2 linked regions of the Nothobranchius furzeri genome follow. The protein of the gene in region 1 interacts with the protein of each later gene in a pairwise test. Links are inferred from orthologs where the notes say so. Each region holds a gene or a part of one and is shown on either strand. Other genes may lie near its edges. The genes, in order: fez1 and pam16.

The links.
Region 2: the proteins of fez1 (region 1) and pam16 interact in a two-hybrid assay, tested with the Homo sapiens proteins (2 studies listed by BioGRID and IntAct). The link is inferred for Nothobranchius furzeri from reciprocal best matches to the Homo sapiens genes FEZ1 and PAM16.

Annotation. Positions count from the first base shown.
Region 1 is NC_091750.1:44,549,803-44,566,053, reverse strand, and holds the end of fez1 (fasciculation and elongation protein zeta-1), read left to right. Parts: intron 1-2,477; 5' UTR 2,478-2,504; coding exon 2,505-2,833; intron 2,834-4,650; coding exon 4,651-4,738; intron 4,739-5,658; coding exon 5,659-5,742; intron 5,743-7,127; coding exon 7,128-7,293; intron 7,294-8,366; coding exon 8,367-8,680; intron 8,681-11,731; coding exon 11,732-11,812; intron 11,813-14,104; coding exon 14,105-14,180; intron 14,181-14,264; coding exon 14,265-14,330; intron 14,331-14,423; coding exon 14,424-14,440; 3' UTR 14,441-14,632; downstream 14,633-16,251. UniProt on the Homo sapiens protein: May be involved in axonal outgrowth as component of the network of molecules that regulate cellular morphology and axon guidance machinery.
Region 2 is NC_091752.1:57,757,881-57,773,440, reverse strand, and holds pam16 (mitochondrial import inner membrane translocase subunit tim16), read left to right. Parts: upstream 1-5,062; 5' UTR 5,063-5,184; coding exon 5,185-5,187; intron 5,188-5,457; coding exon 5,458-5,542; intron 5,543-5,611; coding exon 5,612-5,748; intron 5,749-9,281; coding exon 9,282-9,347; intron 9,348-10,217; coding exon 10,218-10,304; 3' UTR 10,305-10,371; downstream 10,372-15,560. Other genes in the region: zinc finger protein GLIS2b, read right to left, coding at 14,249-14,970, 15,044-15,162, 15,248-15,381, 15,461-15,560. UniProt on the Homo sapiens protein: Regulates ATP-dependent protein translocation into the mitochondrial matrix. Inhibits DNAJC19 stimulation of HSPA9/Mortalin ATPase activity.

The sequences.
Region 1 (16,251 bases):
TACCTTGCTGACAGTTTCGTTCGCGGCTGCAAACACCCTCAGAGCTGATGCTGATGGTGGCCCTCCCCTCTCCGATGATGCAGTCCCATGCACGATCCAAAGTGTAAACCCCATCGTCTCTGATCATGGTCCCACATCCACGTCTCCTTATCTCTATTGCTTCCTTTATCCATCTTTTGTATTTCTGTTGTTCGGTGTTTATGATCCTTGTATTGTCCCAGTCCATTACATGGTTTTCTCTTGTGCAGTGATCTGTTACGGCTGACTTCTTTATTGTGCTTTCTGCTTCTTGTTTTGCTGCTCTTGTGTGTCTTCGACTTGTGATACTCTATTTAAATATAGAATATCACCCAGCTTGGTCTTTCTGTGCTTATCAGAAGATCTAGGATTCTTTAATTATTAGGGGATTGTAAACACTTTGTTTTGATTCAGAAAAGAGTCAGGTTTATAAAAGTAATAATTTATTTTACAAACCATTAAAACATGACAAGTTAACTAACATTTACTGTGATGGATGGAACTAAAGGTGATGTATGAACCTATGTGTGAATGATGTGTTAGTCAGAACTCCCTTATCGAGCTGAGTTCTGGATGTAAAAGAATTTGGTTTGCGTTAAGCTATGAAGTTGATTATTATCAAAAGCACACCAGATGCTATCTGTGTGTCTACTTCACCCGTTCTCGGAGACCCTCTTGGTGGATCCGAAGGTCAGAGAGGTCGGCTGAGCTCTGGAACCGAAGGGCTGTAGAATACCGTGGCACCGACTCTTCGGTCCAGAGATGTCTCGGGTCATGACAGACGGATGGAACCGCGCTTCTGGGACTCTTAAGGAGTCTAAACAATATCAGCTTGTTCTGCAGGAACTGTGTATCAGCTCCGCAGGTGCAAAAAGATTTTGACAACGTGTCAAAATCTTTGATGGTTAAAGAGGGGTTTGCTTCAGATGGCCGGCCTGAAGCTTCTCTAGAACTGCTGAATCACCAGAGTGATCCAGTTTTAATGTTCTCATGTTATGATTTGCGTAGCCAACCAAAGGTTGACAAGTTGAGAAATGGTTACTAAGACAACCTCAGAAACATGCCTTCTTTGATACAAATGCTCTGATCTGGGGTAAAAGACTATTTATGTGTCATGGGTTTAACTTAACCTTACTTTGTCCTTGTGTGAGTGCAAGTGGTGATGACCTCATCATATCAACATGCTGAAACATATTTCAATCACTGTAATCATAACATAACATTCATTTCACACTTCAATCCTTGAGCACAGATTAATGAAACAATTCATTATATTATAATTATTATAAGTAGCAATAAACAAATGTTTATTTAATGATTATCTAACTTGTAGGTTGTAGAAGTTCATATTTAATTTAGTAAATCATTCTTTGATTTAGCAACTGATCCGAGCTGGAGTGTTCCTTATATGGAGGCATGAAGACCTGAAAGATTGGACCTTGAGGAGAGAATGTTATTGTTGACATTTCATTATCTGAGTTTAGAGCTGCAGAGACTCTGAGCTCCAGCTGGTGGGATGGAGGCAGGCCAGTTTAAAGGGAACACATGCAGTCTTGTGTCTCCTTTTTGACCAGACGTTGAATAGGTGTTGAATGGTCAAACTGTACCTAAAAACTGACCATTGCTGGACGTTACAGTGTTTAAAAAAAAAGAACCAACAATGCAGTTAAAGTAAAAACTTATCATCAGGAGAGGGAGAATGTTTAAATGGTTAGCAGCAGTGTTCAAGCCGATGGCCCCCTCCATGAGGCCACCACAGCTCAGCGGAACATCATTGTAGCTTCTTCTGGGGAGAAAAACACTTAGAGAGAAAATTAAGTTAACAGCTGAAATAGCAGGAAATAATACAGTTAAAGAGCAAATTGTAGAAGAAAGTAGTCGAGTGTGGAAAGTGGTCAGTGTGTCCTCCAGCAGTCTAAGCCTATAGCAGCATAACTACAGAGATAACCCTGGATAACCTAGCCTTTTAGATGGTGGCATGTTGGAGGTAGTACAAGGGAGAGCCGTCTCCAGTGTCCTGTTCTATGTCCTATAATGCTTTTGTGTGACCTGTCTAGGGACTGTGGATGTAAATTAACATTTCTGCTATAATTTGGCATGTTCCGTTAATATTCCATTAATGGATTTCCATTAGTCCATTAATATTTAGTAAGATTATCTTTAATGCACACTGTCCCTAAGTAAATGAATGAATGAAAATCATGCAGAACTGCAGTTAAAGGAAGAAGCACCTTATCATGGCATCCAATGTTAATTTCCCTGAGAGCGGGGTGGGGTCATGGAGCAAAAGTCAGTCATGAACATCAGGACTTTATGCTTTTGAACAACCAGTGCAAGATTTCCAAAATTTCTCTCTGACAATTAAAACCCTCACCAAACCTGAGCATCACAGGGATGTGCCTACTCTTGTTCTACTTGTTTCTGTGACTCAGTCAACCCACTTTCATTGTTCTGTGCAGGGTCTAGACAACAAACTGAGGCGAGACATGATGGAAGCCCCTATTGTGTGCTTGGATGAGGAGTTTGAAGACCTCCGACCCTGTCGGATGGATGAGCTGGACCATCTTGCTCTCAACCACTCCTCTTACTCTTCCACCACCACGGTCCCTCTCCTCCCCATCAACCGTGAAGACTTCTCAGAGCTAGAAAACTTTTCTGAGATGATGAGCTTCAAATCAATGGAGGACCTGGTCAATCAGTTTGACGAGAAGCTCAATGTCTGCTTCCACAACTACAACACCAAGACGGAGGGCTTGGCTCCCATTCGCAGTCAGTCCCACAACCAGGAGGATGAGGAGCAGCTGCAGGATGAAGAGTTAGTGACCCCCTATCTAAAATCTATTTTACATTAATCTACAGCCATTTATACATTATATTGTATACCGCTACGTATTTATGTTGATTCATGGTCATCAGAGGAAATTTGGTTAGACTAACTGAGATTTGATTTGGTCAGATTTGGGCTTATGAGAATTTGATGCTTTACGTGCAGTGTTCCCAATTCCTCCATACAGAAGTAGTCATTGGCTGCCTCAAATATTCCTAAATGATGTCACCTTATTTAGAAAGTCGCCATGTTTTGTAATGTACACTGTAAAACAAGAGAACATCATGGGAGATGAACCAAGTCAGGAAATTAAGTTTAGAAAGGGATTTTTGAATTTTAGTGTCACGTTTAATCAGCCAGTTGCAACTTTACACATAGTTTATTTGCTTTCTGATCATGGAGGGATTAAGATATCTTCACTTTGGCTGTTGTGTGCATACTTGGGTGTTTGTGAGTGCACTAGGGTAGGAGAGGGACTCCAATAACCCAAAAGTGGTGCTAAATTTACTGGCAGCTAAAGGCACCCTAAGGAACTTTGTCATATTGATGGTTTTGAGAAATCGAATGGTCACACAGGACGCGCCGCTGAGCGCTTCTTGGAAAGTGATAGTCACAACATCAAGCGGGACTTGAGAATAGGAAGCGGAAAGGGAGTCTATCGTTTAGACGTGATCAGACTTGTCTTCGTGTTTTGTGAGACTCTAATTTATTAACAGTGGGTAAGTACGTTATTTATTAAAATATTTTAAGATTAATAGTACTTTAAAGTTTTCAAACCTGCGGCTGGGTTTGTGCTGTAAAACTGCTCCAGCGTCGTAATGTCTGTTGTAAAGTACTCCACAATGTTGTAAACAGCTGTGCCGCGGCGCTGAAGATAGAGCCAGCGCCTATCTTCAGCGCCTCGGCGCGGCGCTTCTTGGACACGGTGCAGCGCTCCCCATGTGCCCACTCCCATGAGCTAAAATGGCTTTTATTAAAAATTACAGCGCGGGTGCGCCGTGGCGCGTCCGCCTCTGGTGTGCCCCAGGCCTTATGGTACAAGCTGAAGTCAAAGGTTATCTCCTAGCCAATAGCAGATGCAAATTCTAATACAGTGCAGAGTTTTTACCTGAAGAGGGTGCGAGACTGACAGTTTTAGACAGTTGGAGGAGCCAGTTGAGGTGCCTCGGGCATCGGGCCTCTTAGACGCCTCCCTGGTGAGGTTTTTCGGTCACGTCCAACCGGGAGGAGACCCAAGGGAAGACCCAGGACACGCTGGAGGGACTTTGTCTCTTGGCTGGCCAGGTAACGCCTTGGGATTCGCACGGAAGAACTGGCCCAAGTAGCTGGGGAGAGGGAAGTCTGGGCGTCTCGGCTTAGGCTGCTGCCCCCATGACCCGATTCCTGATAAGTGGCTGAAAATGAATGGATGGATATTTAAATTTGAACTAAGATGCACTAAATTGCAAAATTATTGATTACAAGTGTCTACAGCAAAAAAAAAAAAAAAAAATTCTGGGGTGACTTGCACTTTAAATAGAGATTAAATAGTGTTGCAGTTTAGCCAAACCAAGACCTCAAAACAGTAGGAAGAAAACAATTTAAACAGAAAGGCTCAGAGACAAAGGTGACTCACTTTTAACTTGAAGATGAAGATAGAAGCTTTTTACTTTTCTTTGCACTGACATGAACTAGTAAACATCACTCATTCATGTTTATCCTGTTAAAAAAAACTTTCTGACTGCTCAATTTACAATAGTGGCTTCATTCTTGTTAGTTTGGCCCCTGCCTCCCTTAATGTGATTTATGCTTGTATCGTGCCACAGTGTGTGGGGCGCCCTAACTGACAACTACATCTCCACATGGGACAGCCCCAACTCTGATGGACACAATGGAAATCTTTCAGACGAGGAGGTAAATGCCACCCCTTCTTTTTATTTGTTTCAAGATAGCAATAAAAACACTTGCTATTGTCCTGTTTGAGCATAGCGATTAGATTAGATTAATATTTTCATGTTCATGTTCTGAGGAATGCCACCATTGCTGGACTAACTGTAAAGGGGCATATTATGACTTTATTTTATAAAGCCATCGGTGTGTACAAAAATGGTTGTAAATTCTTTACGATTTGTCCAGATTTGCAAGATTTCACCAGCTTTAGTCTTGACATTTTCAGTACCTTCCAGAATGAGCCATTTCAGGACTCCCTTACAAGCTGTTGCTGGTCACATCCACCTTTTTGCTCAATAAAAAATGACACCCAATGGTTATCCTAATTACATAACTAATTCCAGTATGGTGTGCAGTGACATACCTCACCGTGATTTATAGCCTTTCCTCAATAGTATGTTTTTACACCAGGAATTGTTCAAGATGTTCCAATGGCACGACGTTTTATTGTGTATATTTACTGTATGTCCCCTCCCTACCAAAATTAATTAAAACTACAGCTAAACTCAAAACATCTAGGCTATTTTTGTCTAATTGCTTGAACATTAAGCTTAATGTTACTATTGTGAAAGTAAACTCACCCCTTTAATCCCTCTCACACATACAAATATAGTCATAGTGTAAAAGTCACATTAGTCATCATCACACACAGGTTAAATTACATTTCCACATTTGACCCATCCCCATGGGGAGCGGTGAGCTGCAGCAGTGGCCGCGCTCATGTTTAACCCCCCAATCCCTTAGGGCTGAGTGTCATGCAGGGAGTGTGAGTAGATACGACCCAACTGGATTTGAACCCTGATCTCAGTCTCAGGCAGACACCGATACCACCAGGCCACTGAGAAGTTTCCTGGATGTGAGTTATTTCCTCTCTCACTATTTAGATTCAAGAAAAACAGGAGGAGATGAATGTGAAGAATGAGAAAGTCAACTGCCTGAATGAAGAACCTCTCATCACAGCAGATCAGGTCAGTATGACCCCCCTCACTCTCACTATTTGAGCCTGATGAATCCTGGCATTGTCATCCAGGAATACGCCCGTGTCATCAGGGAAGATGGAATAACCTGGTTATTCAGGATATTCAGGTAGTCAGCTGACCTCATTCTTGGAGCACATCCTGTTGCTAACCCTAAACCTGACCAACTGCAGCAACCCCAGATCATAACACTGCCCCCACAGGCTTGTACAGTAGGCCCTAGGCATGATGGGTGCATCTCTTTATCTGCCTTTTTTCTTACCCTGATGCACCATCACTCTGGAACAGGGTCCACCTGGACTCATCAGACCAGATTTTAATAATGCGTTGGACAGTTCTTAACCCAGTTTTAGTCATATCTGCATCTCCTTAGATGTTTTCTCTGCTTGATGCATGCCAGTGATCTGACCCTTCTCACACAGACTCACATATTTTCCACGACCACGGTTGTTTAAGAAATAAGAAGAAACTCATTGCACCACTTGGGGCTAAATTATTGGTTGCAGCGGAAAGATAGTCGCCTATGCAGTAATTATCCAACCTCAGTAATTTGGAAACGGCCTTGGTGACAGGGTAAGGGAGTAGAGGGAACGGAGTAGATGACAGACTGGAAGTAGTCCATCAACAGAGAAGTCATGTCATGGCGGGTGCTGTCAAGTTCAGCGGTACACAGAGTGATGAACAAAGTGCATCGTTGTGATTTATAGTTGACAGCATAGCTCTGTATTTAAACTTGGGTTTAGCATGCTGGGTCATTACCTTTTCCAATCAGAAAGTTTCTCATTCACATGTTGGAGTTTGTGTGTAAGTTCAACAATGAACAGAGCAGTTTGACAAATAAGTTTCTTCCTGGAAACGTGTTTTGTCTTCCAGAAACCAAAGCTGATCTCAAGTACTTGAGCAGCCTTCTCCTGTGCTCTGAGCTCAACTGCTGTGCTCATCATGTCTGGCTTCCTGTAAAATGGACTGAATGCTGGAATAGGCTCCACCCATAAACAAAATCAATGCTGAGCTCCCACTCACGTGAACTTCCATGGAGAAACTGTGTACTTATTTTACTTTGTGTTGTACTTTACTCTCAAACTCAAAACATTGCTTTTTTGAGACTTTCTTCACTTATTTGAAAGTAATTCCATCTAACAAGATTAACCTGCTGACAGACAGTACGCCGCGGTGTTGTTGGAGCAGCTCAGACATCCATCGTCTGTGCAGACATTAATAATGGATTTAACTCTGACATCCACCGCTACAGAGGAAGCTTTTAGCATTCTTGTGGCTCCTGACATATGGACACTACAAACTTATCTGTCTTACAGATTTCTCCCATCAGTTTTGTGTCCATCCTTAGATTTCCTCTGTCTCTCTCTTTCCTATAGGTGATTGAGGAGATCGTGGAGATGATGGAGAACTCACCAGATCCTGTTGAAACAGAGGAAGATGATGATGAGGAGAGCAGCCACTGCTCCTCCAGGATTAACCCCTCCTTGATAGAGGAGATTAGACAGCTGTCAGAAGCTTCCAACAACAACTGCTCCCATGAAGGTCAATCACAATAATTATGTTTTGTTGTTCATGTTGTTGGCTCAATAATTTTTTTTTACGAAAAAAAAAATTACACTTTTTTAAAATGTATATGTTTACTTCTATGAAGTTTTCAGAAATAGAAACTCTGGCCATTAAATAACAAATTTTTTGTGTCCACTTTTTCTCATCTGACGTAAGATAACCAGCATCATGCGTTTCTATTCCTTTTAACTTTTCACTCTCTTTTTTAATAGTTTTAAATAATTTTTAAAAGTTTTACTGTGCTTGTGAAGTTTGACCCGAGCTTTCCGCTAGATGCGTAAGCGGTGCGTAGCACAATAGACGTGCTTTCACCGGGAACTCGCAGGGGCGTCTCATCCCACTGGGACCACTCAGGTGTGAAGATGTGTTCGATGCAGCTAGTCCTGGAAGGTCACATGATAACATGCCAGGAGAAAGATGGCAGCATGTTCCCACAAGTTCCATGGTGAATTTTCTGAGCCACAGAGGCCACGTATCTTTTTATCCAGTTAAGCAATAGGAAATCTAAGTGTGTCTTTTATTTTGAAAGTTGCAGGATATTTTACACTACTGCCATGTTTCATTTCCTCTCTACCCAATCAGAACTGCTTAGCTTGATGCATTCTGGAAGCATAACACATAAAACATAGACATAAATGTAAAGTTAGTGGAGCAACGTGACATTACTCTTCGTCCAAGATGCCCTGCTTTGCAGCCGGTGAAAACAAACAGTCAGTGCCTTGATGCAATTTGCTGGGTTCCTTATATAGGAAACATTATTTCTGATTGGCTTAATGAACTGACCTGAATAGGAATGTTTATTATGCGAAGTGCCTTGAGACGACTCTTGACGTGATTTGGCGCTATATAAATAAAATTGAATTGAATTGAACTGAACAAACCCATCGACTATAACGGTGGCTAAAAGCTACTTATTGGGCCAGTGAGTGTGAGACTGGTTGTGGTCCTGCTGTAGAACTCTAAAAGTGTCAGATTGTTTACCCTGGTTCCTGATTCCTGTTACAGACTCACTAATTTCCTTTTCATTGCTTGTTTAATCCATCCTGTAGGTCTGAGTTTGATGTCTGATCCATCACTTGCTGAGCTGCTGCAGCGGGTGGAGTCTGCTATCTGTGAGTACTCAGAGGAGCTGGTCAACCAACTGGCACGTCGAGATGAGCTGGAGTTTGAAAAAGAGGTGAAGAACACATTCATAACAGCACTAATGGAGGTGCAGAACAGGCAGAAGGAGCAACGAGAGAGCGGAAAACGCAGATGTCAAAACAAGACCCTCAGCCTGCAAGGGGCAGGAACAGGGTCCACCAACGGGGGGAGCTGTGGATTGACTGGAGGCTCAGAGAAGACAAGCACCATGCCTGTCAAGGTGGGACAATAGATGAAAAATATCATATTGATTCCACAATGATGAAGCAGCTTTTAGTTTTCATTTCATTTCCATCTCTACAATCATCTCCATCATCTTCACTCCCATCTCCTCCCACAAGTACCTGAGGGAGATAAAGGTGTGGAAAGAACACAAAGAACACAACTTTCTCTTACTAATGAACACCAAAGCCATTATGTTTGGCTACTCTAACCAGACTCAGGCAGCATCCATAACCACCATTTCTGTATGAGCCATAGAATCAGGTGTAAAAGTAGAGTCCAATCTCAACTATAAAATATATAAATAAAGGGCAAGACTGCCTTCTACTGCCTCCACCACCAGGGGCAGCATAAGTGGTACCAATCCGTTCCTTTGACTCAATGCTGCTTTGCGCATCAGTCTTACATACATTGCTTTGTGTGTGTGTGTGTGTGTCCATCATGGTGCCCTTGCATTGGCTTCCGGTGTGTTACTGGGCTCAGTTTAAAATCCCATCCTATGTTTACAAGGCCTATCTAACAGCTCTGCTAAACAGATACACTCCGTCTCATGCACTTCGGTCAGCTGGGCTAGAATTGTTCACTGTCCCATGGACCATGTGTAAAACACAGTGGCGGGAGGTGCGTTCCACCCCTGGGCCGTCAGTGATTTCCTATTCAGTCCAATCTAAACGAATGCACCTTAAAATACCATCAATATGACATCACAGCTGGAGAATCCTTACAGAATCACACACACACACACACACACACACACACACACACACACACACACACACACACACACACACACACACACACACACACACACACACACACACACACAGGCACGCACACGCACACGCATGCACACACACACCAGTGGCTGGTCAAGACACTTAATTTCCGGAGCCTTTAAAATCAAACTCGCATTCACAATTGGGAGTAGGAAACTAAGACCACGGATACTGTCAAATCTCAAAAATGAAAGACGGGTTTAAGAGATGAGTCACTAAAATAAATAAGTTAAGCAAACACATTATTTGCATTTGTTTTGGAGAAAATGGCACAGCGAAACAATTGAACATGTTGGCGCAGGAGGGTGCCTTTTCCTTAACTTTAGTCTGCACCCTGTTTAGTCCAGATGCCATCACCGCTGCGCCATCGTAACACTGTGCAACAACTTTGTCCAAACAGCATTCATATTCCTCAAGATTACGGAAAATAAGTGTGTCAAGTTTATCAGCTCGCCTGCCACTAGTTACATCCACAAATTTGACTAAATGCTCCGTGACACCTGCGGCTGTGCAGGACGAGTGCCAGCTGTGCCATGTTTCTCACGTCGGTGTTTCATCAACCATCACGGTGACAAAAGGGGCTCTTCTGATCTCCATTTTCATCTCATCTTCCATCACTTCAGCAATAGCATAAATGAGGTTGTTTTGTATTCTGCCTGATGTCCCAGTAAAGACCCTGATGGTGGACAGGTGGTAATGCAAGTCAGCGTCATGTCCCCTAAATGAAAGTTCCTGTTTACCCAAAAGCATGACACAATCCATCAGCCTTTTCAAAATCTCCCTATTTTTCTTTACCTTTTCGTTGTGGAGCTCCGTGTCCCTGCGCGCCTGTTTGCTGAGCTGCAGATCCACTCGGGTGTCCCCAAAGGTTTTTAAAAGCATCGTAGCTTGTATGTGCCCAGCCGTGCTTTGTTGCCTTGGTGAAACAACTTAAATTGGCAAACCCAGTAAATCTCCAAATACCAAATCGATCTGATGCGAGCAACAGGCATTCCCAGTAGAATAACTTGCAGCGGCTCTCTGAAGCTGTTAGCCACGGGTACCGTTCATAGTTGCTTGCCTGAAAATGTCGAACAAGTCCTTTCCCCTGCTGGGACAAGCCAGCTTGCATTGGAGTCAGATGACCTGCTCTCACAAGATCCACTTTTACTTGAAAGGTCCGTCTTGAAAATGGTGTGGCAAGTAAATTTACAACCAAGTCTGTCCCTTCTCCTATTTCAGCCATCAGGTGTTCAAAAATACATGATGGCTGTCTATAGATACAAATCTCTGTGTTTAGTTTTGATATTTTGCTTAATGGAGCTAGAAAAGTTCAAACTACCGCTTATCCAATCACAGGATGCGTTCATGTCAAGTTTTGCGTGGGCCACGCTGACTCGTGAGCTGATTAGCTATCGCAACTGGATTGTCTCTGTTCACTTGCAGTGGACAGTGGACTGCTCGGTTGATGCTGAAGGCCTAGGGCAGACTTAATCTGCCTGAAAACAAAAGCTGAAATCTGATTGGATAATACCCAACCTTGATATTTTAACACTGGAAGCAGCGCAACCAAGTGGGTATAATAGGATATAAAGAAAATAGACCAGTGAAAATTTTTTGATTTAAAAATATTTACCAAAGGAAAAAATACATTTACGTTTTTGAGGAAGTTTAGGCCAGCAGAGAAGGCTTTGCTGGCCCTGACTGCCCACCGCTGGTAAAACGAGGTGAGCAGGTCTCTGTGATGGCTGCCTCACTAGGGACCAGTCTGCTGATGGCTGATAGGCAAGCGCTGTTACTGCAATCATTTAAGAGTCAACTGATGACTTGTTTTTATACGTTAGCTTGATACCCATGAGGTATTCACATTTTCTCTAACAAGTAGAAAGCAGTCGAGAATTAGGTAACTCCAGTACTTGTTCAGGTTGCTCCATTTTATGTCTGGCGTTTCTTCTTCTCTGTTGGTGTTCTCAGTTGACTGAGGCACATTTTCTTAGATTGACAACTCCCTCGTGTGGCTTTGCAAACCAACCCTCTACTGTAGGCTTGCATAAATTATTCATTTTGCTGTAGAGGCCATAATAGGGACTTTAGGGGAATAAAAAAGATGAAAGGTCATCTACTTTGTATCAGAACAAAGTAACATAGTCAAATTTAAGCATTTTTAATTTACTTTAAAAATATGAAGCTACGCACCCCATGTATGGGAAAGCCATTTTACCCCCCACCCCCCGATGAAAAACATGGACAATTCAGAATAAACGTTTTTGTTTGCTTCTTGTTTTACCTTGTAGCGTTTCAGCATGGAGGGCCTGTCCAACATTCTGCAGACTGGCATTAGACAGACCTTTGGAGTCCCGGGAACAGAGAAGCAGGTAAGTTCCAAAACACGTTAAATCTGCTATTTAGCGACTCTGCAAACAAGCTAGGTTTTGAATGCAAACACTGTCATGGAACACTCACCCCTATTCTCAGGTATCTTCCCTGGTTCTACCCAAATTAGAAAGCTGCACTGCTGTGCATAACCAGATAATGCTAAACACCAGCTGCCATTTGCAACGTTCAAACGTCTTTTGTTGTCCTTGACTTCAAATGGCGTTTTTCTTCTTGGGACTCGGGTAGTTTGTCCTAAAGTTGAAGTGGTAGCAGCCAGCTGTTTCTCCTTCTCTCATGTTATTGGGCGGAGAACCTCTCATGCCAGTGGTGTTCTGTTACAAGAGAAGAGTTTGAGTTCTGAGGTGTAGCAGGCCCGAGAAGCTTGAGACCAGATGGATGAGGCTGGAGGTGTGAGGGATAGGAGGCACGTGAGGTTAGAGGTCTGATGGGCTAAAAGCTTTTAGAGCTCATGGACTGAGGGACTAGAGAGAAATATTCAAAGCTAATGTGTCTCTGACTTGGATTATGTAGAAGCAGAGGGCTGATAGAAGTGTGGGTCCACTGGGATTCACACTGGGAACACCGCAGGGTCTAAGGTAGTTTAGAGGTGAGGCTTTTAAAAACTCCCAGCCTGGTTCATTACTCAAAACCGCCATCATGGGTAAGACTGCCAACCTGACTGCTGTCCAGAAGGCCATCACTGACACCCTCAAGCAAGAGGGTAAGACACAGAAAGAAATGTCTGAATGAATAGGCTGTTCCCAGAGTGCTGTATCAAGGCATTTCAGTGGGAAGTCTGTGGGAAGGAAAAAAGTGTGGCAGAAAAGAAAATGCTGCACAACAAGAAGAGGTGACCAGACCCTGAGGAAGATTGTGGAGAAGGACCAATTCCAGACCCTAGGCGACCTGCGGAAGCTGTGGACCGATTCTGGAGTAGAAACATCCAGAGCCACCATGTACAGGCGTGTACAGGAAATGGGCTACAGGTGCCGCATTCCCCAGGTCAAGCCACTTTTGAACCAGAAACAGCGGCAGAAGCGCCTGACCTGGGCTACAGAGAAGCAGCACTGGACTGTTGCTCAGTGGTCCAAAGTACTTTTTTTCTGATGAAAGCAAATTTTGCATGTCATTCAGAAATCAAGGTGCCAGAGTCTAGGAAGACTGGGCAGAGGGAAATGCCAAAATGCCTGAAGTCCAGTGCCAAGTACCCACAGTCAGTGATGGTCTGGGGTGCCATGTCAGCTGCTGGTGTTGGTCCACTGTGTTTTATCAAGGGCAGGGTCAATGCAGCTAGCCATCAGGAGATTTTGGAGCACTTCATGCTTCCATCTGCTGAAAAGCTTTATGGAGATGAAGATTTCATTTTTCAGCACGACCTGGCGCCTGCTCACAGCGCCAAAACCACTGGTAACTGGTTTACTGACCATGGTATTACTGTGCTCAATTGGTCTGCCAACTCTCCTGACCTGAACCCCATGGAGAATCTGTGGAATATTGCGAAGAGAAAGTTGAGAGATGCAAGACCCGACACTCTGGATGAGCTTAAGGCCGCTATCGAAGCATCCTGGGCCTCCATAACACCTCAGCAGTGCCACAGGCTGATTGCCTCCATGCCATGCCCCACTGAAGCAGACATTTCTGCAAAAGGATTCCCGACCAAGTATTGAGTGCATAACTGAACATAATTATTTGAAGGTTGACTTTTTTTGTACTAAAAACACTTTTCTTTTATTGGTCGGGTAAAATATGCTAATTTTTTGAGATAGGAATTTGAGGTTTTCATGAGCTGTATGCCAAAATCATCAATATTAGAAACAATAAAAGGCTTGAACTACTTCAGTTGTGTGTAATGAATCTAATATATATGAAAGTCTAATGTTTATCAGTACATTACAGACAATAATGAACTTTATCACAATATGCTAATTTTTTGAGAAGGACTTGTATTACTCTAATAATGAAAAGAGTTATTATTAAATTGCTTTCTCTTTGTATTTATATATTTATTTACATAAAAACAAATTTCATGTATTATTATTATTACTTTATTTAATTTTTATTAATTTTAATTGTGTTATTATTATTTACTGTGTATTCATTAACAAGAAACCTGCAGAGTTTTCTCTGCAGAATTTTACCACGACCTGGATGCCTGGATGTTTTTCCACACAAACACGCTGTGACACCTGACGCTAACACTTTATACACGCGTAATTTGATCTCTCATAGCCTTTCTGTTTTACAGCCCTGTATGGCTTTGGCGGTAAATGTGATTTGTTTTTGTTTCCCAGTATCTAAACACTGTGATTCCATATGAGAAGAAAGCCATCCCTCCATCTGTTGATGACCTGCAGGTGCTCACAAAAAGTAAGCCTCTAACTGATTTGTTGTTTAGTTTCTTCTTTTTGTGAGAAAGTGTAAAGTCACTGAGTGACCTGCCCTTCTGTGTAGTTCTCTATGCTATGAAGGAGGACAGCGAGAAGGTGCCCACACTGCTGACTGATTACATATTAAAAGGTAAACTTCACATTTGGTGATATTCCCTTTGATTAAATTCAGATGTTCAACAAATCTTCCTACTGAAGAAGATGCTGTTGTGTTCCTTTCCAGTCCTCTGCCCAACTTGAAGTACCGCCAGACCAAGGGTTGCATTGTGGCTGCGAATTCCTACCTTCAACCAAACTCACCTCTGGCGCAGCCTGCATGAGCTCCGAATGTTTTCCAACCATCCACACCATCAGCATCATTTATTTGCCCATCACCTTACAGCCCTTTCTTGCTGAGCTCCTCTGTTCCAACATTCCCGACACAAACCACACTCGGAAATGGCTCCCAACTGGTGAAACGGCACATTTCCACTTTTACAGGACTTCACTACCGGATCCTTTTGGTGCAGCGATACTGTGTTATCAATGTTAAAACTTTGCTTTATTTAGTGCTGCTACATGTTGACAGTAGTTCCTGGGCGTGGGCTAAAAGGAGATTCTGACCAGAGTTCAAATGTTGCTGTATTATGACAACGATCTAACGAGAATCACAATTTAATATGTCATTACAAAATCAGAAAAGCAAACATAGTTATTTAAATGCTGTTGTCTTCGTCTTCGTCTTCGTCTTCCTCCGCTTATCCGGGTCCGGGTCGCGGGGGCAGCATCCCAACTAGGGAGCTCCAGGCCGTCCTCTCCCCGGCCTTGTCCACCAGCTCCTCCGGCAGGACCCCAAGGCGTTCCCGGACCAGATTGGAGATGTAACCTCTCCAACGTGTCCTGGGTAAACCCGGGGGCCTTCTGCCGGCAGGACATGCCCGAAACACCTCCCCGGGGAGGCGTCCAGGAGGCATCCTGACCAGATGCCCAAACCACCTCAACTGGCTCCTTTCGATCCGGAGGAGCAGCGGTTCTACTCCGAGTCCCTCCCGAATGTCCGAGCTCCTCACCCTATCTCTAAGGCTGAGCCCGGCCACCCTACGGAGGAAACTCATTTCGGCCGCTTGTATCCGCGATCTCGTTCTTTCGGTCATTACCCAAAGCTCATGACCATAGGTGAGGATTGGGACGTAGATCGACCGGTAAATCGAGAGCCTGGCTTTCTGGCTCAGCTCCCTCTTCCCCACGACAGATCGGCTCAGCGTCCGCATCACTGCAGACGCCGAACCAATCCGCCTGTCGATCTCCCGATCCCTCCTACCCTCACTCGTGAACAAGACCCCGAGATACTTAAACTCCTCCACTTGAGGTAGGACCTCTCCCCCGACCCGGAGGTGGCAAGCCACCCTTTTCCGGTCGAGAACCATGGTCTCAGATTTGGAGGTGCTGATCCTCATCCCAGCCGCTTCACATTCGGCCGCGAACCTACCCAGCAAGAGCTGAAGGTCAGAGCTGGATGAAGCTAGGAGGACCACATCATCCGCAAAAAGCAGAGACGAGATTCTCCTGCCACCAAACTCGACACACTCCACACCACGGCTGCGTCTAGAAATTCTGTCCATAAAAGTGATGAACAGAACCGGTGACAAAGGGCAGCCCTGGCGGAGTCCAACCCTCACTGGGAACAGGTCCGACTTACTACCGGCTATGCGGACCAAACTCACGCTCCTCTGGTAAAGGGACTGAATGGCCCTTAACAGAAAGCCACCCACCCCATACTCCTGGAGCGTCCCCCACAGGGTGCCCCTGGGGACACGGTCATAAGCCTTCTCCAAATCCACAAAGCACAAGTGGATTGGTTGGGCAAACTCCCATGCCCCCTCCATCACCCTTGCAAGGGTATAGAGCTGGTCCACAGTTCCACGGCCAGGACGAAAACCACATTGCTCCTCCTCTATCTGCGATTCAACTATCGATCGGACCCTCCTCTCCAGTACCTTGGAGTAGACCTTTCCAGGGAGGCTGAGGAGTGTGATCCCCCTATAGTTGGAACACACCCTCAGGTCACCCTT
Region 2 (15,560 bases), on another chromosome or scaffold:
AACACTGATCATGTGTCTGTGATCCAGCTGCTGAGTGCCATGGTGGCCAAGCTGGGAAACATGGATGACCCGCTGCCTCAGGAGTCCTTCGAGGGCGTTGATGAAGATGAATGGGTGAGTTTTCGGTAGTTTTCAGGTGCAGACGAGTAGAAAAACAACCCTGATTCCTGGTTTTTTTTTTCCTTATATTTTCTAAAAAAATACAACAATAAGGGCTAACTTTTATTAAGAAGAGCATATTAACTAAATATTAAACTGATACCATTTGAAGGAGGAGCTCCCCCCACCCCCCACCCCATCCCGCCGCCGCTCAAAACTTGAATTAATAACTGTTTGTTTACTGCAGTGTGTTAATTACAGGTTAGCTCAGTAACAAGGCGGGGCGGGGGTGGGGTGGGGGGGGGGGTTCCTAGAAGAGAACAAGAGTCGATTTTCATTGAAGGATTTGATTCAGATGACTCTTTTCAGAGAAATGTTGAAAAAGCCTGACCACTAACCAAACATTTAATTAAAACACAACTCCAAACTTCACCGAAGATAAATATAAACAGTTTTGTTTTTGCTCCCAGTTTTCATGAGCTGAACTCAAAGACTGAAGCATAAATGAACAGAAGATTTTAAAATCGCTGTTATATCCGATAACCAATATTTCCCAATATTTCATTAATATAAGTAGGGATGTAATAAAATAATGGTACACTAAAATGCCACAATGTGTTCGGAGAGCCCGTTTACAAAAGCAGTGTTTTTTATTTGATTTTATTTGGTTTTTTAACGAGGATTTCTTTTGTGTGGTGCAATTCCAAGTCTTACAGCTAGGTGGCAGCAGTTTTTACCACCTCCTAATAACGCTGAATGTGTTAGAAACGTCTGACCTGTTCAGTCAAAAATAGCAAATATTGTCTGACTTTTAGTATCACAATATATTCTGTCCTCGCTCTTGTATTTAAATTTTTATTGCATTGCCAGATTCCTGCAGATACACACCCCTAAATATTAGCAATATTTATAATTATGTACACACATTTACGGTTCTGAGATGACTACCCTCACTGTCACATGACATGACTAAAGAAATGTGCATCATGGTAAATGTCCTGTATTTGTATAGCGCCTCCTAAGGGTTCTGCAACCCCCCAAGGCGCTTCACAACACACCCATTCACACACACGCTGGTGGGGGTGAGCTACATTGTAACCACAGCTGCCCTGGGGCTTTCCAAACACTGGCGCCATCGGTCCTCCCGACCACCATCAGCAGGCAAGGCAGGTTAAGTGTCTTGCTCAAGGACACAACAGCAGCTTTCTCTGGTCAGAGCCAGGATCGAACCTACAACCCTCCGATTTACTGGACAACCCACTCTACCTCCTGAGCTGCTGCTGCCCCACCCACCTCACCCTCTGAAACTGATACACAAACGGCAACAAGATGGAAAAATGTCTCGGTTGTTAATATCTGCCCAGCTTGATTTGTCGAACCGATATAGATGCCGATATGTCGAGCATTCCCTAGTTAACAGTCTTGTCTTAAAGTGGATTAACTCTGATGTTTGTTTACAAAACAAACTTTGTGGGGATTTCTGCATCTTTGTTTTTTTACACGTTACATTATTTTTTATTTTTTAACGGTTTTCCTGGATTATGATGTTTGCTGTAACACCACAACAACCATGTTAGACTGAGTAAATCACCCCCTCTTCTTCTGCTCTCCCCGTCATTCAGGATGATTAGAGACGACGGCGTCTGGAGTCGGGGTCAGTCCTGCTGCCGACATCAAACAACTCAAGTGTTTTGTCGCCATTCCCAGAAATCCTCTGAGCTCCAGCAACAATGGCACTTCAACCAATTCACAACAGAACAATTATATGTAAGACTATAGAAAAAAGAATTCATTCTGACTAGTTGTTGATTAACATCATTTAACGGTTAATCAGACGTAGTTAAACAAAGATGTTAGTAAAACAATCACATGAAAGCATTGAAATCATGAACATGTTATGCATTAAAGTCAGTTGGATGGTGATCGCACCAACAGCCCTCCTCTTTCTGACACATAACTGGACGAGTTTTTCATTATTGTGTACAACGATTCACTTCCTCTGGTGGCCATCCTGGTATTCTGAACCATCCACGTGCTCAGAGTTAAAGTATCTTTCCGGAGTTTTCCCCTTTCAGAAATTATGATTTGTCAGAAATCCGTAAAAGTGATTATCTTATCATGTACTGTGATATAATGTAAGCAATACATCTTTTTTTTTCTGCTAAGCACGCCCCCTGCCCCGCAGAGCTCCGTGCAATAGGAAACTGAGTGCTGACCAGAACTATCCAATAGTGTTAGACTACCGCTTACTTGCGTCAAATTTAAGGAATACCTCGGCTGATGCGGACTTGATGAACTTTTCACGGACAAGAAAGTCTCTAAAATATAAATATATGAGAACACAACATGACATGAGAATAATACTAGTTAAACAACGTGTTTTAGCTGTTTGTCAGCTACAGAAGCACATTTATAAACAAGAAACGTGAAGTCGCCATCTTTAAAAAAACGGAAGGAGTGTGATATGCTTGTCAGCCACTAGATGGTGCCATCGGATAAGAGAAATACTCCGGAAAGAAGCTTTAATTATCGCTCTGATTTATTTCAGATTCAGACACAGCCGTGTCTTCCTGTTTGGTCAGATTAAAAACATTTAAGCTTCAGGTACAAAACCTCCTCTGATGAAACTAGGGGCGCCTCCAGAAAATTTTGATGGGGTGGCCAGATGGGGCCAAAGACATTTTTGGAGTGGCGCACCAAATTGATCATTGTGGTAACTCTGGTTGAATTTAGTCTGTGGCGATGTGCTGCATTGCGCCTTTGTTCTTTTTTATTAAAATAACATACGTATCCAAAACATTTAACTTAAATTTTACAAACATAAACTTTTTAGAAAAACACATTTCAGTTATTTAAAATGTTATCCCAAATTTTAGTTTTAAATGTATTTTTTTGTTTAATTCACCTGTTGCTGTGTTCACACAAAAAACTGGAGATAAATTTTTTTTAAATGGTGAGCAGCAGAAACATATGTATTTTTTTATTCTGATTATTTCCTTACTCATTAATTGTAATATTTTTATTTTGTTTTACAATCATATCTTGAATAAACTAGATAAATATATGGTTTGACTGAATATTAATATGATTTGTCAACACTGGCTTCTCCTGGGGGGGCTTGCAATTTTCTAGCCACCCCATGCCACCCCTTGGGGGCGTCCTTGGATGAAACAACAGGGTCATCTGTGTTCATGTTTCAACTGGAATTTTAAAAGTTAACATCATGTTTTTTTACAAGCCAAATCTGAAATGCCATTTTATCAGGATTATGTCGTGTTTTAGTCCGAGTTAGATTTTAATCTTTGTTCTTCCAGGAATAGACGTCAGGAAGAGGTAAAATAATCCATTGTGAGTTTCTAAGGAGATCTTTTATACTTCAAGAATGAGTTTTGTTTTTGTTTACTGGCTGCTTTTAACTTTTATTGTGGGATTTCACTAAACCATTTGGTTTTCTCTGACTGCTGGAATGTGGTGAGAAACAAACAGTACAGTGTTCTTAACTTCCATCATGTAGTCGTCACTCAGGGCTGCAGCAATAAGACCAGAGACCCACGGATGACCCGGCTTTTGTTTACATTCTCTTAAGAACTGGATCAATCCGGTTGGGCCAGCCGTGTGACAGGTGCCACGTGAGTTTATTTGGTGTTGACTGTACGTACTTGTGATGCTCAGAAATTGTTGTATTTGGATTGGAGTTACTTGCCTTCAATTGTGTGTTTTTATAAAGTGATTTGTTTTATGTTTCCTGTCTTTCTAGTGTAATGATTTGTGGACTTTTTCTAAATCTTCTAGCAATAAACACAATATGAACTCTGCTCCTATTGCTTCAGTGTAATTAACATGACAGCTACACACACACACTACCTTATACATTATTAAATAAAGCAATATTAGAAACAAATGTATAAGAATAATACCATACCACTTTAATAAGGCGTATTTTCCCACAGCGTGTCAGCTGCCCAACGCGCAGTACAACAAGGGTCATGAAAAAAAAATTAGAGACCAATAAAAAACTAAAAACACTGTGTGTGTGTGTGGGGGGGGCAAAACCAGTCATAATGAAATGTAAGAAGTTCACAGGTTAAAAACAACCAAACACTAAAACCGTCATAAGAAAGCCAGGGCACAGAAGTCGGCTTTTAGCTTTGCTGCCACAGGAGACGCCTGTTGTACCTCTAGCGGCAGGACACTCCATGTACTGGAGTTGCATACAGAAAGGCACGTTCACCCCTTTTCCTTTATCTCTTTTCGAGTGCAAACATAGACTGTACAAAGCAGCAGATGGTAATGAATATTTCCTTAACATGGTGTGGAGTAAGCATTTCAATAATTAATTACCTTTTTTTTATACGTTTTAGATTCTTACGTATCTGAAAGTGTCACCATTAAGTTTGTTTTGTTCTTTAGGATTTGGATTCATGTATGGTGGTCAGCTATTCATTTATTGGACAAATTAATCAGAATCTTTTTAAGAAACAGATCTACATGGTATCAGTTTGAGAAAACTTATAGGAAGTCAGCCATCAGGTTTGATCAAAGTTTTGTAAGACAGCATGATGTTTTGTTAAATGTGCAGATGCTTTATATAACTGGATCAAACCTCAGATTCCAGCTTACTGCACCTTTGTTGTGCTGCACGGTGGCGCGGTTGGTAGCGCTGAAGTTCACAGGTTCAAATCCCTCTCGCCCAGTGACACCAACTCCCCGCAACCCCTAATGAGGATGAAGCGGTTCAGATGAGAAAGATGGATCAGTTTTTAATTGTTTATTTTTTTTTATTATGTATAATTTTAGAATTGTTTATCTCTATGAAGTATTTTTGAGTCTTTTGTTTTACATACTTTCATCTTTTCTAATTTTCGTAACAACTGTTTTACAAGCAGAGCACAGGTGACCTTAGAAGCATCAGGCTGCAGTTAGACTTCCTCGCCAGCAGGTGTCGCTGTCTTAATAGTCACACCAAGACGGCCAGTCTTGAATTCGTAATGTTGCTTGAACTTTGACCTCCTTCGGTAACCTTCAGTACCCATGTGTGAATACAAGACTGTCGTCTTCCGCGGAGGCTAAGTATTATATTTAAAAATGGTAAGGTCACGTTTATGTGTTCTCGTTTATAGTCTGTTGTTGAAACTGAAACGTGAACAGAAGCTGTTGTTTTGAGATTAATTCGTGGTTTGCTGCAGCGCTAGCTTCATTATCTGATCAGATTTGGTTTTTAAATGTCAGAATATTAGCTGAGTGTCTCTAACGCGCTAGTCGTGTTGGGGTATTCAGCCTGAGTGCGACGTAACCATTAATGACATCCAGTCTATAAACTACCAGCCACGCGCCTCCTTTTGTCTTTATCTCATTCAGGCCAAGTATCTGGCTCAGATCATAGTGATGGGAGTCCAGGTGGTGGGCAGAGCCTTTGCCCGTGCTTTACAACAGGAATATGCAGGTACGACCCGTCATTGCTCGCGCGCATTTGTGTGTGTAATCATGTAGAACTTTGTATCTCCTCCATCAGCCAGTCAAGCAGCAGCTCGGGCCAGAGGTCGGACAGGTCAGCAGTCAGCTGCAGCCTCCAGCATCTCTGGGATGAGTCTACAGGAGGCTCAGCAGATCCTCAACATCTCCACTCTCAGTCCTGAGGAGATCCAGAAGGTACACACATTCTCTCTCTCTCTCTCTCACACACACACACACACACACACACTGGTGGCATTTTTTAGAAGCTCTCTGAGCGTGCTCTGTAATATTTAGTGAGAAATTTATTTATTTTAGTCTTGTTTTTATCCACTCATCATAGGTTGCATTTGAGAAAAGGATTCAACATTCATATACGTTCTTTAATGAACTAAATTAAAGTTTGTGTCCTCTCCTTCTGTTTGACCTTTTCTGATGAGCATCTAAAGACGTTTCTCAGCAGAAGAAACCACAATATTGCCGTTCATGACTATAATGATCCAAATGCTGATGGCATCCTAACCCTATCAAACTGTCCACTTAGGAAGCAACACTGCTGTTGTGCAAATGGAAAAGACAACAGGTGGAAATTATTAGCACTTCACCTGTAAGACATCTCCAATGAAGAAGTGGTCCTGCAGGCGGTGATCACAGAGCACAGGTTTTCGTAGAGCTCATTCTACTGAAACAGCTCTTCTTAGGGTCTCTAATGACCTTCTGGCTCACAGTGATGCAGGGGACTGTTCTGTTCTGGTCCTGCTGGACCTGACTGCAGCCTTTGAAACAGTTGACCATCACCTGCTTCTGGAGAGGCTGAGAGACTGGATAGGCCTATCAGGATCTGCTCTGGAGTGGTTCTCCTCTTATCTTTCTGAGCGCTCCTTTTCTGTGGCCATCTCCAAGTTTAGGTCCTCCACCACCTCTCTTACCCATGGTGTCCCACAAGGTTCTGTGCTGGGGCCTCTACTCTTCCTCCTCTATCTGCTCCCTCTTCAGCACATCCTGAGCTTCTTCAAAGGAATCTCCTACCATCTTTATGCAGATGACATCCAACTGTACATCTCCTTTAAGCCCCATGAGATGTCTAAGCTGCAGCTGTTACACACCTGCTTAGACTCTTATCAAAACCTGGATGGCTGGGAGCTTTCTACAGCTGAATGAAGATAAGACTGAGATCCACATCTGTGCTCCAGACAAGCTGGTTCCCAAAGTCAGAGACTCTCTTGGTCTGCTTGCTTCTCACACCAAACCTTCCGTCAGGAATCTTGGTGTGACCTTTGACCCAGCTCTCCCCCTGGACTCTCATGTCAGTTATCTTGTTCGCTCTTCCTTCTTCCATCTCAGGAACATTGCTAAGCTGAGTCCCATTCTGTCCCGTTCTGAACTTGAGACAGTTATCCACACCTTCATCTCCTCATGCTTAGACTACTGTAACTCTCTTTTCACGTGTCTGAGCAGAACCTCCCTGAACCGTCTACAGGTGGTTCAGAATGCCTGTGCTCGGCTTCTGACCAAGTCCTCCAAACACACCCACATCACCCCGCTTCTCCTCCAGCTTCACTGGCTGCCAGTCAACTTCAGGGTTCATTTCAAGATCCTGGTTCTGGTCTATAGGGCCTTACATGGACAAGCACCATCTTATATTGGTGATCTTCTTAGTCACTACACCCCCAGCAGGTCCCTGAGGTCCAGTGATCAAAGCCTACTGGTTGTGCAGCACCAGGCTAAAGACCAAAGGTGACAGATCATTTGCTGCTGTGGCCCCCAGACTCTGGAACTCTCTCCCCCTGAGCCTGAGATCAGTGGACTCAGTGGTCTCCTTTAAAAAGCAGCTGAAGACTCACTTGTTCAAGCTGGCTTTTGTGTGACCTTCTTCACCACTCTCTCTTTATTCTTTTCTCCCCACCTATTCCACCTTCCTCAGGATCCACTGATTTCCCTCTTTCCTATTCACTCTCTCTCTCTCTCTTAACATTTTTTAATCACAATTGTCTATTTTTTGCTCATTTTAAATATATTTTTAACCATTTTCTAAATTCTTTTTTATATTTTTACATTTTTTGTTTTTGTGAAGTGCCTCGTGATTTTTATCTTGAGAGGCGCTATAGAAAAGATATTTTCTTCTTCTTCACTTTTCAGTTCCTCTGCTTTCTGACTGATATTTTGGTCCCTTTTGAATGCTGGTGGTGCTTTCACTGTAGTGGTGGCATGAGGAGTCTGCAGCTCACACATGTGGCTCAGGTAGTGCAGCTCATCCAGGATGGCTCATCAGTGTGAGCTGTGGCCAGTAGACAGGCCAGCGCATCAGGAGGTGTGGAGGAGGCCGTAGGAGGGCAACAACCCAGCAGCAGGACTGCTACCTCCACCTTTGTGCAAGGATGAACAGGAGCAGTACTCCTTGTTATGCTCTTTCTGTTTCTTTTCTATTCGTGTTGATTTTTTGTTCTTGTCTAAGTCACAGATTAGCAAAGCTTTTATTTAATTTTGCTGACAGTTTCGGCTACTTCTGACGTCCACAGGTGGGGGTTGTGCTTACAGCCCAACACCGTGCATTAGCTACAGAACACCAAGATTGGCAAATTCACCACTGACACCCTTACTCTTCACAGATGAAAGCAGGATCACACTGAGCGCATATGACAGAGTCTGGAGACGCTGTGGAGAGCGTTCTGCGTCCTGCAACATCCTCCTGCTTGATTGGTTTGGTAGCGGGTCAGTAATGGTGTGGGGCGGTAATTCTTTTGGGGACAGCACAGCCCTCCATGTGCTCGCCAGAGGTAGCCTGACTGCCATTAGGTACTGAGCTGAGACCCTCAGAACCCTTGTGAGACCATGTGCTGGTGTGGTTGGCCCTGGGTTCCTCCTAATGCAACACAATGCTAGAACTCATGTGGCTGGAGTGTGTCAGCAGTTCCTGCAAGACGAGGGCATTGATGCTATGGACAGGCCCGCCTGTTCCTCAGACCTGAATCCCACTGAGCACATCTGGGACATCATGTCTCGCTCCATCCAGCAACGCCGCGTTGCACCACAGACTGTCCAGGAGTTGGTGGGTGCTTAAGTCCAGGTCTGGGAGGAGGTCCCTCAAGAGATCATCCACCACCTCATCAGGAGCATGTGTAGGCGTTGTAGGGAGGTCACGTGGAGAACACACACATACACACACACTACTGAGCCTCATCTTGACCTGTCGCAGGACCAGCCTGTGGTTTGTTTTTACACTTAACTGTTAAGAGTGACTCCAAATCCATCCCATAGATGGTTTTTGTGTTGCCAGCACATCCAGCTATGTAAAGAAAAAGTGTTTAATAAGAATATTTCATTCATTCCGATCTAGGGTGTCTTGTGTTTGTGTTCCCTTTATTTTTTGAGTGTGTTACTGAATTATGTGAACATTTTAGGAGCTTTGCTCCGTGTTCTATTGGTGATGTTTGACTTCACAGGATTGCGTTCATGAACCAGTTTTTCCTTAGATGGGTGGTCCATGGTCAAAGGTCAAAGGGTTTATTTAGTTATTTGACATTTGCCACCAAATGATTTAAGTGAATGTCTGACTGTAGAAACCTTAGTGTGTGTGTGTGTGTGTGTGTGTGTGTGTGTAGCATTTAAAATATTTTATGAAGTTACATAATATTGCTGAGGTCTGTAATTCTGCATACAGAGATGTAGGAGTGTGCATGTTTAAAGCAGTGGTTACGTTACTTGAATTCTGATGTTTTTATGTCCTCCAGAACTATGAGCACCTGTTTAAAGTCAATGACAAGTCAGCGGGCGGGTCGTTCTACCTCCAGTCTAAAGTAAGTGGCCCTTACCTTCAGGCTGCACAGGTGCAACCCTCTGTAGCATTAACCTGCTCATGGGGTAATACTGAAGCCTTGGATACTTTTGGACTCTATTATAACTGAATTTTAGAAAGTAAACTCCTAACTTTGCTTCCCTTTCAGTCTAAAACTTGAGATTTTCTGGAACTTTTTCACTGTTGAATCAACTTATTTTGTCTGGATGATCCGTTTAAATTTGGACTAAATCCAGTTGTTGCTAATCTTCCTGTTGGTGTGATGACAGCAGGAGTTTGTGTTTCTGCGGGTTTTACAACATCTCTCGTTACAGAAGGATGTTTTTCTGTTAAATGTTTAGATGTCACAAAGCTTTCAGTCCCTGACTCTGAAACAAAGGAACCCGGATGTGTGATTCCTCAAAACGTTGCTGCCTTTAGAAGAAAAACCCCTTGGGGGTTTTTTTGCTGCAGAGCAAATTCACGAATGTAAAAAATGTCTGATTGTGCGTTAGTGGATCAAAATACGAGCCGTGGTTGTTTTCTCAATGATGTGGTTGTGTGTTTATAATCTATTCACAAGTCTTTCCATCTGCCGTTAGACTTGTGAATAGATTATAAACACACAACCATGCTCGTCTTCTGTACTTGACATAACGTCACGTTATCGGCCATATTACCATTACCCGCCTTTTTTATAGCAAAGTTTTATGCTAGTTTATTATATTTTATTTTACTTTATTCTACTTTATTCTATTTTTAATTATATTATTCATGTTATATGTAGCACGTTAGTATCGAAGCAAGTTCCTAGTTTGTGAATTGTTTGTTCACTGACGATGGCAATAAACCTTTTCTGATTCTGATTCTGATGTCTCCCATTTGTGTTCAGGTGGTCCGAGCCAAAGAGCGTCTGGAGGAGGAGCTGAATATTCAGACACAAGAACAGAAACAGTCGCAGCAGAACTCAGAAACATGAGTCATTAGCCCCCACCCCACCCCCCATCCTCTGTAAATTATAACCCAATAAAGCCCTCTCCTTCCTAGTGCTCGTGTCTGAGTCCTGGTTTCTCTCTTTTTATCCAATATCCTTACGTGTTGGACTGAAACGCTGCTCTGCTTTGTGCTCCTAACTTCTGTTGGAACAAAAATGGAAGCAGACTTATCAAATGCAACTTTATTAAACATTTGTTGTTTTCATTGACATTTTTTCTTATATCAATATCGTAATAAAATTCCTCTAGAACAGGAGAACGCTGCTGTGTTGTACCAACTGGAGACTTTACAACTCTAAAATTCTGCATGTTCAACACCGGAACATGGTTCAGGAAAAATATAGTTTCGTATGGTTCTTTTATTATAGTGTAGAACTTTTATATTTACCTATAGTAAAAAGGCACTTGGAAAAATAAAAATACTGACATAATATCTCACAAATGTGCAAAAACATGAGCTGAACAAGCCTTGAATGGCCCTGGTCTCGTCATTAACCCTTTGTGCAACACTGTGGCACTTCCAACACCGGTCACCTCTGGCCTCCCAGTGTCCCGGATCTTGGCTCTGCTTCTTGTAACATTGAGTTTGGGTTGCTTTAACATCTCCAGGAGCACGTACCACTCATATAACATGAAATCAAAAAGGAAAAATTATTTCAATGTAGTCATGTTGAGCAAAGTTTTCACAATTGTTCATATTTCCCAAACAACTGATCGTAGATGCAGATTAAACAACAACAAAGACAGCATCCCCATATCCATAGTCTACACGGGGAGGGAAAGTGCAGTTTCATTACAGACTGAGCTCAAAGGGTTAATGGGGCGTGCTGCTTAGTTAACATTGAACTGGTGTGGACCCAGTTTGGATCCGTGTCATTCTGCAGGTTTCTGCTGCCGGGCTGAGTCTCTGTCCCTGGCGTCGGCCAGCAGAGGAGGAAGAGGGGAGCCGCCTCATCCGTGGGTTTCACTGTTGCCATGGAGACCATGTCTGGCTTGGCTAACGCCTGCTCCTGGTGACATCACATGCCAGGCTGGTCCATTCAGAGACAAATGACTCTTTTCAGTAGCTGACCTGAAGCCGCTGTGTGTGTGTGTGTGTGTGTGTGTGTGTGTGTGTGTGTGTGTGTGTGTGTGTGTGTGTGTGTGTGTGTGTGTGTGTGTGTGTGTGTGTGTGTGTGTGTGTGTGTGTGTGTGTGTGTGTGTGTGTGTGTGTGTGTGTGTGTGTGTGTGTCCTGAATGCAACATTAAATTACATTCATGAGTTTATCTTTCTGCATCAAAGTTTAGTTTGCAGGTGAGAACTGAGCGTGAGGTTTGGTCTACAGAGAAGATCGGAGAGCAGGAGGAGGTCAGTGGCCTAGTTTCCTGCGTGCTGGTTTGAGAGCGGCTGCCACACTGGGCACCGGGCAGCCATCGACTTCAGAGAGGAGCGTTTTCTGGGTAGGTGGCCAGATGGAGAGCAGCAGCAAAGGATGAACCCCCCCCACCCCCCCGTCCTGGCTCCCAGCCCCGGCTCTCCTGTATTCCTGTCCTTCATCCACTCACTCATTCAGCCATTCTCTTTGCTCTCGCACTCCTCCAGCTCAGCCATACGATTCACAGTTGGAGGTCACCTCTCTACGTTAACCCGTCTGCATTTGTGAAACCGTGTAAAATAGCTATTGAAGATCTCCATTACGCTCACACTTTAAAAGTAGTGAACTAACGTGATTGTCAGGAGGGAATATGGTGTCATTGGACCCGCTGGATCACATTTGTCTCTCAGAGCAGTGGTTCCAACTGGGCTTGCGCCTTCTGAAGATACCACTTATTTATGGCCTTCAGAACTGTAGAAAATGTCCCCCAGTATGCTTTTTGTCGTGGTAAATATCAAACAGTACCCTAGGTGTGTGAATTTTGAGACATTTTAGGATATTTTTACATGAGGAGTCTCTGATTCAACAAATGTTTCTCAAAATTTTCAGTATTTCCAACATGAATCTAGTTTCTAAATAAGTTTAGATTGTTTTTTCTTTTTCAAACACACCCAGTTACGTTTTAAATGTACACTGGCCTTTTGTGTTCTATCATTAAAATGTAATCATTTGTTGTGCTTTTTGACTTAGCTCAGCGGCTAACAGGTTCCTACGAAAACAAACCAGATGAATGTCTGCAGAAATCTGAACGGAGGCCCAAAATACTTCAAAACAGGTAATAAATTCTCATGGAAAAAATTTTGTTAGCTATTTGACATTTTGTTTTTTCTCTGGAGTCCACACTTCAGGTTAGGATCCACTGCTCTGGACTCACTCACACACACACACACACACTCACTCCCTGACTTAAACCCCTCTAAAGACCCGACAGCAGAAAGCTGATGCAGAGCAGCCAAAACTCAGGAAGCGATATCAACATCACAAGAAAATGTCTCGTCTGAGCAAATAAAAATACGACAGAAATATAAAACAGTGACAGGTGGGTGAATCGCCCTTCAGACGGGGAGAATCAGAACATGATCACAGGAGGAGTAAAGGAGCGTCTTTTCAGGAGAGTGTTCTTTGTTTAGAAACCCTCCTCCGCTGCCCCCGTCCTCCCTCGCGTGGACACGGCAGCGATATGTGCAGAAAAGTCAAATAACAGCAAATCACTGTTTAAAATAGAAACAGGAATCCAAAGGGAGGTTTTCTAAACTCTGATAAGTGCAGGTCGACTGTTTGATCAGACCGTGACAAGACGTTCCCCACGAGAGCTTTAAAAATCTTTCTTTGCCCCTTCGGACAGATTAAAATGAGGCAGTTTGTCAGTGTGGCGTCCTGTGACTAGTCCGGCCGTAAGCAGCACAGAGCGCCCCCTCCAGGTTTTTTTAGTCACAAGATCTCATCTAAACTAGACCACCTGTGTCTGGTTTTGGGGTCATTTCAGTCGTGAAACCACTAAAGGCAGTGGTGCTTCTCACCACCTGGGTTTTACGTCTAAACTGGTTGACCGTACAGGATGTTGTTGATCACGTCCGGCCAGAGGGGGGAGTCAAACGCACCAGTGCTTTACATTTCACTTGTGTAAAAAAAGGAGAAGCAATAATTGGTCACTGTCAGGTGGTGGAACACCGTCTGTCTGTTAGTTAGGTCTAAACCCTAAAAGCCCCTAGTCTGCACACACCTGTGGACTAGTCTGGTCTGTGTCGGTCACCCTCCCCAAACCGGGGACAGATTGTCGAAAGAAAAGTGCTCGTTCCCAGTTTGTGTTGCACTGGGGGAGCAGAGAGGTTAGCAGCAGTTTTGAGGTTTCAATACTTTAACCAGCTGACACCATTAAGTGCTCTTGTTAACGCTGAGCTGCCTTCCGAACAGATAGGACAGCCTGAGTTCACTTGCTTTGGTTCGGCAAGCTTGTCTGAATTATATCGCACAGAAACCTGTGAAAAATAACTTTAAAGATGAAAAACCTTCCTATGAGTGCTTCAGTCGTGGTGTTTGTGTCTCACTGCTGAGCTGGAGGCACCTTGTCAAAGTACAGTCACATAAATATGTAAGATTAGGAACACAGAGCACTGAGACGGCCGCGTTTGCGGTCCTCGTCCACAGAACCACCAGGAATGGATGAAGTATCAGACAAGAGGAGCCTGTTCCTAAGGCCTTGTGATGATTACAGGGCCCTACGTGTTCCTGGATTCACTTCCTGGGTCCCAAGTTTAGTTCTCCAACAGTCCGAGGGGAGTGTGTTGGATAGGTTAGGGTGTGAGGTTCGGAGTTATCTTCTTGATGCACGGCCACAAGTCGATTGTTCCACCCGACCTCCTGCTGTCCCACGATGGCATGGACCCTCCCCTCCAACCCCCTGAGCTCTTCTGGAATGTGTGTGTGTGCGTGCATCTATGCATGTGTGTGTGTGTGTGCGTGCATCTGTGCATATGTGTGTGTGTGTGTGTGTGTGTGTGTGTGTGTGTGTGTCAGTTAACCACAGCTGGCTTGAGCACCACAGCGCCTGGAGGGATGACCACCCAGGACAGGGGATCATGAGACCCCCCTGTGGAGAGGTTTAGGACCCCCCCACTTAGCTCGTCCTCTCCTTCCTCTCCTCCGCCTCTCTTCAGCTGGTGGCTCTGTGCCCGGCGCTCGGATGTGGGCCCCATCATCGGAACCATGGGCAGGCTGAGGGGAGATGGGAATGCATGGGACAGCAAAGGAGCCTTGGCCAGACCCAGAGGGGAGCCGCTGAAGGACAGGATGGGTGGAGGGGAGTTGGGGCTACCCAGAGTGCTGAGGTCCAGGGGCCTCGGGCTGAGGGGTGACAAGGGCAGAGCACCACCCAGGCCTTGCAGGGCGTGGCCTCCCAGGAGAGCAGCTGTTGCTCCAGGAATGATAATGTGGGCTCCGTTCATGTAGGACAACTCTGGATCTTTAGCACCACCGCTAGCTAGCCCCCCACTCTGACTCCCCTTCAGCATAGAGCCCACCCCACCTGGGGAGCCCTGCTCCTGTGCCACAAAGTGGCCGTGGGCTTTGATGTGCTTCCTCAGTGAGCTGGGATCCGTGTAGCGCTTCAGGCAGCCTACCATCTTGCAGTAGTAGGGCTTGTCTACGTAGTGTGTGCGCGTGTGTTTGAAGCGGTCGCTGGAATTGGAGTAGCGCTTGTTGCAGCCCTCATAAGGACAAATGTAGGGCTTCTCACCTGCAGTGACGACACATTTACCACATCAAACCCTTACACGTGCAACAAGGTCTTCTCTGGGCTGAGCTCTGACCTGTGTGTGAGCGGTTGTGTATCTTGAGGTTCTCCAGGCGCGAGAAGCTCTTGTTGCAGGTGGGACAGCGGTGAGGCTTCTCGTTGGTGTGGGTGCGAATGTGAATGAGCATTTTGTACCTTCAGACACAAGCACACACACACAAAAGACTACTTTATCACGTTTTTTATTCGTCACACAAATCCAGATGAAAGATGTTCTCACCGAGCGTTGAACCCCCTCCCTCTGCGAGCGCAGCCCTCCCAGTGACAGCAGTACCCAGAATCCTTCTCCGGTTTGACGTGAAAGTCATTGACGTGGTCCACGAGGTCTTGCAGGGAGTCAAATAGCAAATGGCACTGAAGGAGGGAAACAGTTTCAAACGAACAATTTGATCCTTAGCTGCTCTAATGTCATGGTTTAGTTCCTGAGTCGAACCTTCTTCCAGCGGCAGGCGAGTTGTTCGTCTGCAGAAAGGTCAGGAGAGGCTCTCTTATCGCTTGTTTGGCCTATGAACATGGAGGATGGCAGGTGAAGT